2 linked regions of the Caenorhabditis elegans genome follow. The protein of the gene in region 1 interacts with the protein of each later gene in a pairwise test. Each region holds a gene or a part of one and is shown in the gene's direction. Other genes may lie near its edges.

Region 1 (5,155 bases):
TTATTCACACTTTTTTCCATCTTTATATACTCTCTCGTTCATCTACCAGTTTTGTATTGTCCATTCGTCCATCACAAATTCCCATTCATCCCGTCATCTGGTGTATTCTTTCCGTTTTTGATACTTTTTTGTCTGTGCCCTGGAAAAGAGTTGGATGGAAAGAGAGAGTGAAGGAAAACGATGGAAAAGAGCAGAATTAGCATAATTATGACACTTTTTCTCTCGCCTCTTCCCTATTTTTCTCAACCCCGCGCTGCTCGAATGAGAAACGTCTCGAATAGGTTTTAAAGCTTCAACTTTTTACTGTTCTAATGTTTTCATTTATTTCCAAGAATTTAGTTGATCATTCACGATTCCCATGGCTTAGGTCAAAAATTAGAAATACTTTGCGGAATTCTATCACAATGCAGTTATATTTTCACATTTTTAGAACTTGTCCTAAAATACAAGAAGTTATCTTTATTTTCAACATCTGGAAAAAATTCGTTTTCAACATCTAAAGCGACAATTGGAAAATTGTCAATTGAAAGTCATTTAGTTAGCGGCTTACATTAATACAATTGTTTGGTTAAACATATTTTTCAAACGCCCTCAAAAGTCCAAAAAGCACTCGATATTTTGGAGATTAGCAAGCACGGCATAAAAGAAACAGCAAAAAAAGAAAACGACACGTGTCATATATTTGGCTGAGAAAGTAGGGATTAGAGTGTCGAAGAAACATGACAAATGAATTGGCATTCAGAAGACGTGCATACATGGCACGACATATTGCTTCGGGAACTCCTTACACTGCATTTTTTGGTTTCCTCAATGTATATTTTGTTTCACGATCAGTCTCCGCTTGTTGTTCTTTTTTCTTATGCTCCAGTGGGAAAAATGTTAAAAACTACACCTATAGTGCACCCATGATGAAAATATCATTCTAACACTTTCCAACATTTTTTGAAAATGTTATATTTACATTAATAGCAATTAATCAGTTTCCACCTATCATAATTGGTCCAATACATTGTTTAATTTTAAGTTCGCTTCAATTATTTACAAGTGAACCTAGAACCTAGGTCTTCGCATTTGCAGCATTGCTCTAAATTAATGAAAAACTCCAATTTTTTTAATTGGCAATTTACCAACATTTTCATTTGAAAGTATTTTATTTAGATATAATAATAATAATAATTTATTACGCTCGCTGGGAGACGTGAAGGAATACAGAATACAAAAGTTATCATTGTTCGCTTGTACTAGAATTGGTGCAGTCGGGCAATTGTTTCCATTCCATTAGAATGTTGTCCTTGTCCTTGCGTTGTCCTTGCGTAGACTCCCCCATAGTGGGCGAGCGATTCCCGAGTGAAAATATGTAGATTTTTAGATATGTAGATATGTAGATATGTAGATTTTTTACTACATAATTGTAAGTCTGTGTAGATTCGAACTCCATGTTGTGTTACAGTACTTCCGAACACGATCTTAAAACTTTTTGAGCATCTCCCATTTTCTCATTTTAGGAAAAAATTTAACTTATAACTTCGAGGTGACAATTGTTAATTCTAAATTTTCCCACGTTAACTCTCTCTCTGTCTGCTTCTCTCTTGTCCCTCTTCTTCATCGCTCTAATTAATTCGCGTGTGAGACGAGAGAAGAGCATCCAATAATCCATGTCCTTTTCCCGCTTCCTCTCTCTTTCCCTCATCTTCCTATCTATTTTCCATCGGACCATGAACAATTCTGTTGCAGGATGTCATCTGAAGCAGTAGCACAAGCCACAGCCGCCACGACGTCTCCTGAACACGGGGTCCCCACATCATCGGCCACGCCTACTCCTCCGCCGAGCAAAGGGGGTGGAGCCGGTGGTGGTGGGGGAGGAGAGCAACAACAAGTCCCATTTCGTTAGTTTTACAAGAGATTTTGAATTAAAGTGTAAACAAATATACCAGACTTCAAGTTTTTTGAGTGTCATTTTTCAAATTTAGATGGTGTGTTTAAATATTCCCGGATCTTCAAAAATCTGATGTTTAGATATTTGAAAAAGCAAGACAAAATCAAATCAGTTAAAAAAAATATGAAAAAAACACAATAACACAGAAAAAAGGCTCTGAAATCCAGATAGGTTCAGTCTGATTTGCCAGCCCTAGTAAGACTATATTAACTTTTCGTAAGGAATTGCTCCTTCGTTTTGGTCAACCTTTCCTCAAATATTTTCACTCGAAGAATAAGAAAAAATAGAGGGGATATTATTGTTTTTCGAACCTTCTCGATTAAAAATTCCCTGTCTTCTCCTCTTCTTCTTATTTTTCCCCGCCGCCGCCTGACCACAAAAATAGGCTATTATTCATATGGCTGGACGTCTTTCATGTTGCCTTCCCTACAAAAATCTATTTTACACGGAAGTATAAGAAAATATTTTAAATATATTGCACTAGGAAACTTCTGTGCACAGAATGAAAATGTATGACATTGGTTATTTATATTTGCTTACTTAACACAATTAAAATAGGAAAAGCTTGTTCTTCAATATATTCGATTTTTTACAGAAATGATCCCTCCTGGTCATTTTTTCGCAAATCCCTTCTTGAATCCGTATATTCCAACAGCGGGTGCTCCTGCTCAGGAGGGTGAAGCTCAACCTCAGATGGTATTCTCTCCAGCTCAATATCAGGAAGTCATGCATCATTATTTTCAACAAATGATGGCCGCGAGTGGAGCACAGTTTCCGATTCCGTTTCCCATGCAATTTCAGCCGGCTCTTCAACAGCCAAGACCTTCTTCTCAGGTTTGTTTTATAAAGCGTTATTTTACAAAAACAATTGAAACACTGTCAATTTTTCATTAGAAGCAGTTTTTAAAACTGGGGTTGATAAGCTTTAAAAAAATGAAGGAAATGACATTAGTCATCAGAAAATGTATGTTTCGCAATTTTGGAACATTGTTGTACAACTAGAAAAGTTGCGAAATTTATTTTTGCAGAAAGAACTATTTTTAGAGCTCTCGAAATTGTTTTATTCACAATAAAAACATGTGAACTGGAAAAACCATATAATTTTCTGATTTGGCGAATTTGCCACAATATAATAACCTAAGACATTACATGCTTATTGGATGTTTGATGATGCATGGCTGACACCCGCTCGAGGCGTGTGAGAGGCGCCTCCGTCACTCTCTGCCGGCTAGAAATTCTAATTTTGATGTAACCTAGTCAAGCTCACAAGAAGTTCACAAATTCTTATTACAAAGTTATGCTTCTGCATTGATGCAGAACAGTATTTGATATTTCTAGACATTGAAATAGATCTAGAAATATATTACCAAAAGCAATGCATTTATGGCTCCCAAAATTCTCATCTGCACTTCATAACCTTCAAGTATTCTCAGGCATCATCATCTCATCGCTCAGAAGACGATAACGGAAGGCAGACAGCTGGCAGTGTTGTGTCCTCTAATGTGTCACCAAATCATCGAGAGGTTCGTTTACGGCAGAGCCCAAACACTTGAACTCACAAGCAAAACGCTGGAAATTAGGCGAAGTGATGACTTGGGGAGCTTCTTCATGTTCTTCCTGTAGCTCTAAAATAAATAAATGTGGTTCGGGAATTTAAAAGATAAAATTTTAAAAAATGTTCATTAAAATATACTTCTAGTTTAGAAATCAAACTCAGTCTTTAATTTTTAGGTGAGACCAGCAGAAGATTCTACGGAAACAAGCGGCGTTGTTCAAAATAATGGTTAGTTGGTTTTTCACTTTTAGAAATTCAGGCCAAATGCCAGAAGATCAGTCATTATCTCAAACGTTTGGCGTACAGTTTTCACAGAACGTATTAAGTTTCCTTCTTCGTCTAGTGGAATGTAAAACTCCAACTTTAAAAATTTCGAATAAATTGCATTTTCCAAAAGTTCTTCAGAAAATCTTCAAAAAAGATCCAGCATGTATCTCATTTGTCACAAGTGAGCATGTAACACGAGAACATTTTGGTGAGAAGAAGAGACAAGAGAGATATCTCTGCGTCTCTTATCATCTCACACTCTCTCTTTTTGCTCAGCCGATTTACTAATTGTTCCATGTCCGAAAGGAGTTGTACGTCTCCCACCATCATGTCTGGACGGAACTTAGAGACCACACGAAAAGTTGAAGGGATTTCCCCTGAACATTTTTCTAATTGTCAATTTTCAAACCTAAATATGTTTCAGATGAGCTTCTTGTACCAACTTCCACGTCATCCGATGTGACAATTGGTGACGTCATCGAAAAATCAGATTCTCCTGAAAATTCGCAAGAATCAGCGGGAGGAGAGGAGAAAAGTGAAGAAAAGCGGAAATTATCCGGTGATCGAACGGATTCACTCATTCGAAAACAAATGAGTGAAATGGAAAAAGAGATAACACGACGATCACAGAATAAAAATATTAAAACGGTATGTCGTTCGGTTTCGGAATTTTGAGAATTAATTCTTGAAAAAAAAAAGTTTTTCACTGAAATCTATGATCAAAGTTCCTAAAGCCAAATGTGAAAAACTCAATTTATGGAGTCACATAGTATGCGCATAGAATGTGCAAGAAACCTCCAACTTTCCCAAAAATAACAACTGTTTTCGAATATTTGGAATATGCCAAAACTTTGACACAAATTTTTGAAAAAACCTGAACATTTTTGGCTGTTGTTTTATTTCGATAGACCTTTTTTCTTTTAGACCTTTCTACATGTTTTGGCAAAATTTCCACTGGCGCTACACCACTTTTAAACAATAAGCATTAGACCATTAGAACTGTGAACTTTAGATATCGAGGCCAACAAAAATTCGAATATTTTTCCCTTTGGAACAATTGTCTCTTTCTGCACATCCTCGTAACAAATCAAATAATCTAATTTTTGTCTATCTACAACTCTCTTTTTCTACTAAATCTTTTTTGGAGACTCCTGCCCAATTTCACAAATGCACTCACTCACTTCTTCTTCTCCTTCCTTTCTCTTATTTTTTGGCCCATTTTCCACTCACTTTTTTCCATCAAAATCCTCGTTTTCCGAATTTAAAATATTGATTTTCATTCAAAAAAATGTAGAGTCAGGTTTGCTATTTAACATAGCCTATAATAATCTCTAAGAATGTTCCTAGTTTTGTTTTTTTCGGGGTCCTAATTTAAAATACAAAATCACAATTTAACA
Region 2 (5,332 bases), on another chromosome or scaffold:
ATTCTATAGGCCATGAAAAAAAGAAAATTGCACTGTTTTTCCAAGTTCTATCTCAAAGATTCATGTTTTCTCTATGCAGCGAACAAACGTTTTCCTCAGAAAAATACTTGATAACTGACAATTAGTAATGCCTTCATTTTATTCTTAATAACAGTCCTCAGTTTTCAGGTTATACTTAATTCTTGAAAAATCAGCATAATGTGCAACAAGTTATGCTAAAGATTAAAAAAAATTTGCATCACCCACGAAAGACCTCAAAGACCATTCCTTTCCGAATCTCCTCACACCTTGTACCACATTGAGATAGTAAAGAGATTGGTGGAGAAGCAGAGTGCGCGTGCATGTGAGCGTGCGCTTTTCACGTTCCAACACAATCTGCGTCTCCGTGCTCTCATCTACCATTATGTCTGTGTCTCTAACTGTCTTACCAATTTTTCATTTGCGCACGTAGACAGTTTTGGTGTCTCTCTCTATCTCTCGATTTCCTCCTATATGCGTGTATGTGTGTGAAAGAGAGAATGAGAAGAAAAAGAGAGAGAAAATGAAGAGGAAAGATCTCCCGCTTCGTCATTTTCCGCGCATTGCATTTTTTGTTATGCTCTTCCAATTAACTGGGTAAAGCATCACGGACTTTTCAATTATTATATCAAAGTTCTTTTTTTTAACTATCAAACAATTATTCGATCTTCTTATGACTACTGTACCTGATTACACTTAAATTTCCTAAAACTTTTCCGAAGATCTACTCTTTTATCTATTCAAATATAAAAGAGTGATCTTTGGAATAGGCAAGAAACATGTCGCAAAAGAGTGCACCCATCTGTCTCACATTCCTCTCTCAAAACTCTTGTTCCTTCCATATCTTCTTCTCATTTCTCTTCGTTTCAATTTCTGCCCTCTTTCGTAAGGTGTGGGAATGTAAAAAAGTGCGTGACGTAATATGTTCCATCTCTTTTTCTCTGGATTGATGCAACCTTGTTTTGACACCAAACACCCTGCACAACATTTTAGAACATAAAAATTTTAAAATTGATGAATAAAAAGTTATTACCATGTGATGAAGTTCAGTCAAACTTGTTTAGCATCTCATTGGTGTTCACTTGATTGGTCATAAGATTTCTCTTTGTTTTTTCTTTGCTGAAATGTACATATTAATTCAAGTTTTGAAGAAAAAATACAGATATTCCTTATTTCAAAGCTTTGTCTCGTTATTCCCAAAAAATGTGTTTCTATGTTCATGCCATCTGGTGTATAGAGTACAATGTATCGTAAATTTGTTCAGTTTAATAACTTTTAAGAAAATCGTTCTTGATTTACCGTATCAATGATGAAGGTCGAAGTGATTTCCACCGAGAAATCCTAAAATTATTTTTAAAAATTGCAAAGAAATAGTCTGTAACTTCCGTTTTGAAACCGTTTCTTTTGTGTTACTTGAATTAGTTTAATTTTTTATATTTCTGAACTTTTCTTTCGAACGTTCTCATTTCATTTTTTTTTCAAAGGCCGATTAAGAGTGCACTTTAATTATAAGTGTTTCCGGAAACTATTGAAGAGTAGTCCATACTACACATTCCTTTTATATCAAACAATTTTTAACCTGAATAACACGTCTTTTAAACGTTGAAATCAAATTTCATTTGAAGGTTAACGGCATCAATTGACAGATAACTTTTTGAATCAATGAAACCATATTTTGTTATTACTATTTAGACAATATACCAGGATAATCCCTTGTGATTTCTGTTTTACTTCTAATCTATATTGTTTTCTTGATCAAATTTGTTCGATTTTCTTTGTCATCGTGTCTCTTTGATCCGTCCAATCACAACCACCACACATTTCTTTCACCGTTCATCTAGTACTGAGAACAGTTTTTTTCGTTTTCAATTTTTTTTTCTTAACTTCTTCGTGTGATAAACGGCAAAATGTCGTCGTGCAAATCATCAACGCTAAGATGGACATTTTTTTTAATGATAAGAGAAATGCAAAGAGAGAGAGAAAAAAGCACGAGAGAGAGAGAGAGATGAGCACACAAGACACGCAAACAATCAGTTTCGGTGCCACGTCGTTCATTTTATCACGTTCACATATTTTTCGGTTATTTTCTGATCACTGCCAGATACTGAATGTGACAGAAAAAAGTTGCAGCACATGACATGAGCAGTGCCCCAAATGATGACTGTGAGATCGACAAGGGAACACCTTCTACCGCTTCACTTTTTACAACGCTGGTATGTTAAACTACTTTAGTTAGAAAATTTAAACTCTTATTACCAACCTTTGAAAATTGAACACCTAAAATGAATTACCTAAGTGATTTTTAAACAGTTATTACTCTGTTTTCTGAAATTCACTATTCAAAAAATCTGTAAAAAGGATACTGTACTTCTGTATGTGGTGAACACTGCATCAATGGGACTAGTTTATTAAGTCTAGCAATTTTGAAGTTTTGTTTGTAGTATGGAACCCCTATTCGCATTAGAGTTAAAAATCACTGAAATCGTACATTTTTCAAAAAAGCATAACTTTTCAGAATTACATATTTGGGTCACATTAATAATGAATAATTATTCAGATGCTCAGTCAACCATCTTCTTCTACAGCTGTTTTACAGTGTACATATTGTGGAAGCTCGTGCACATCTTCCCAATTGCAAACATGTTTATTCTGTGGAACAGTGGCTTATTGTTCCAAGGAGCACCAGGTTGGTACCGTAGGGTGTATTCGTTGATCAACAAAATAATGGGGGTCCTGCTGATTAGATAAACAAGTGTTCTCACGTAATCCGTCCCTTCTCACGATGCATCTACCCTAAATCTGTTTTTGACTCTAATTCCTCCCTTCTTTTCGAATTTTTGAACTGGCTATTTATGGGAATCAAATCTAGTTCCTGTTTAAAATTATACTTTGTTTCTGACAACTACTTCCAATTATAGTTGTCTTATTTTTGTTGAATTTTTCGGAAAATAACCTGAACCTGCATATCGCGCAAGAACGTGTCGATTCGAACATTTCGGCTGGCTGCCCTCCTCCCGAGAAAGAGCTTTTTGAAGCATATGTGCGCAGACAAGAAAGACAGAAACATTTGTAGACCAATGTCTGTGTTTACTGCAAAAACATCAAAATGAAATAGGGGAAATAGATGATGACAATAGGAAGAAATTTTAATTTCGAGAAAAAAGCTGTGGCAGCGATTTTAGATTTTATCGACGGAATTTGGACGGAGGATTGTAGATAACCCAGAAAAAGTTGTGACGTTCTCAAGAACAATAGTCTAGTTATTAAAAGTATTGAAAAAGTTCTGAAACTTGTTTCGTTAAAAAATATAATTTTCAATAAGAACCACTAATAATATAATCATAGTGACCCTCTACATTTAAACTTCCTAAATTATTCAGCATAAAAGTTGGGAAATATCAAACTTTAACAAAAGACGGAAACAATTCTTAGAGGTATATGTTGTGGCCATAGTATACTATTAGACGAGAATATGTTGCTTCAAAATATTTTACTTCCTTATTTGAGTGCAACAAAAATCACAATATGATTCATTCGTATTTCTAAAACTTTTCCTCTTTTGTGTTCCCATTGTCAACTTTTTGATCTTATTACTTTTCTAGACACGTCCATCAACAACATGCAAATAAAAAATTTGTTTAGTTTCCCACGTCGTTTCATAAATATTCTGATTTATGCTCAACAACTTATTTTTCTTACTAAACATCACACCTTTCTCTCATTAGACATAACCCAAATCAAGCCACGCCCGTGCACTTTTCACAAATTGAAACATCACAAGTGTCACGTAGACAATTTTTTTAAAGCGACTTATGGATTTCAATTTTTAGACGCTTGCAATTTTTTAATTTATTTGCCATAGATGAGATCAAAATTTTGAATACAATTTGCTAAAAACACATGCAAAAACAAAATGAGGAAGTAGAGGGTATTATTCTTGTTCAGTATTTCAAATAGTTCTACAACTTTTAGTTTTTCCAATACGAAACTCAGAATCAATATCTAATTTCCAGCAACTCGATTGGCTAACACATAAAATGATATGCAAGTCACTTCAAACAAGTGGCATGGTGCCAAGTAATTTGATGCCTCAGGCAGCACCTGCTGTTATGGCTCCAATTCCACCTACTGTTTCGTTTGATGATCCTGCACTTACCACGTCACTTCTTCTATCTCTTCAAAATAATCCAATTCTGAATCAAACTATTTCAAATTTTCCGCCAACATTTTCGATCACATCGAAGACCGAACCAGAGCCATCGATTCCAATCCAAATTCCACAAAGGATATCATCAACAAGTACAGTACCGTTCAGTAGTGAAGGAAGTGCATTCAAACCATACAGAAATACGCATGTGTTTAATTCAATTTCTTCTGAATCAATGTCTTCCATGTGCACATCACATGAAGCATCACTTGAACACATGTCATCAGCTTCCCTTGCAATGTTCCCAACAAGTAGTACTGCTCAAAGTGATATCAGTAGACTCGGTAAGCTACCAATTTAACAGTTTTTTGATATAAAAGATCTTTAAGCTCAAGTTTTGAGTCTTGCTGGAGATTCACCAGCTTCGTTGGCTCTTGTCACAACTTCGGTACCGTCAACTGCTTCCACAGCAACTATTCCACCTCCAGCGACAACGACAAGTTCAGCTACAAGTTCAGGCAAAAGCGAGACAATAACTGTTGGAAAAGAAAAGATAATTCAAACTGATGATCCGGATATTCAGGTTAGTAAACGTAATCATCTAAAGTCTCATCGAAAGGCCAAAACCTTTTTATTTCCGTATTTCCATGTTAGTTTCATTGGTGAAAATACCAACTATTTGATGTGAATATGTGTATCTAGGCTCATGCCAACGTGCGGATTCTGCGAGCCCTCCCGAATTTTACGTGATTTGTGAGAAGCGTGTGTGTGTGTGGAGCGGACGGCAATGCTGCACAAAATGGCAGTTAAACCAAGCGGTTAGAAACAGAGCCACACAGCAACAAAATAAATTGGCTGGTCGGTTTTGTGCTCTCTGAGTAATTATAAAATGGAAGTGAACTCGATTTGTTTGATGTTGATAGGAACGAGTAGACAGGGATGGATCACGCGTTCAAAGGGTTCGGAGATGATAGTAGTAGACAGTGAGTCAGGTGACAGAAAAATTCACTTTTGATGAAGACTGGAAGTTTTATAGTGAGCATACTTGATATTTTTGTTATCTCTTCAGAAAATCTGATGAGCACTATTGAGTTAAGAAAATATCATGCTTTTTCATTCCGTTCAGAAGTCCTTCCGTTTAGAATGGAAACACAAAAAATGTAGTGG

The links.
Region 2: the proteins of lin-10 (region 1) and egl-9 interact in a two-hybrid assay, tested with the Caenorhabditis elegans proteins (one study listed by BioGRID).

The regions. Positions count from the first base shown.
Region 1 is NC_003279.8:8,115,894-8,121,048, reverse strand, and holds the start of lin-10 (Protein lin-10), read left to right. Parts: upstream 1-1,734; 5' UTR 1,735-1,735; coding exon 1,736-1,886; intron 1,887-2,531; coding exon 2,532-2,770; intron 2,771-3,369; coding exon 3,370-3,459; intron 3,460-3,667; coding exon 3,668-3,719; intron 3,720-4,182; coding exon 4,183-4,406; intron 4,407-5,155. UniProt on the Caenorhabditis elegans protein: Required specifically for the determination of 3 vulval precursor cell fates P5.p, P6.p and P7.p during late second and early third larval stages; required for basolateral localization of receptor tyrosine kinase let-23.
Region 2 is NC_003283.11:10,466,369-10,471,700, forward strand, and holds the start of egl-9 (Hypoxia-inducible factor prolyl hydroxylase), read left to right. Parts: upstream 1-2,148; 5' UTR 2,149-2,156; coding exon 2,157-2,231; intron 2,232-2,575; coding exon 2,576-2,704; intron 2,705-4,031; coding exon 4,032-4,509; intron 4,510-4,554; coding exon 4,555-4,748; intron 4,749-4,864; exon of another isoform or gene 4,865-4,926; intron 4,927-5,332. UniProt on the Caenorhabditis elegans protein: Cellular oxygen sensor which regulates the stability and the activity of hypoxia-inducible transcription factor, hif-1. In normoxic conditions, hydroxylates hif-1 targeting it for vhl-1-mediated proteasomal degradation.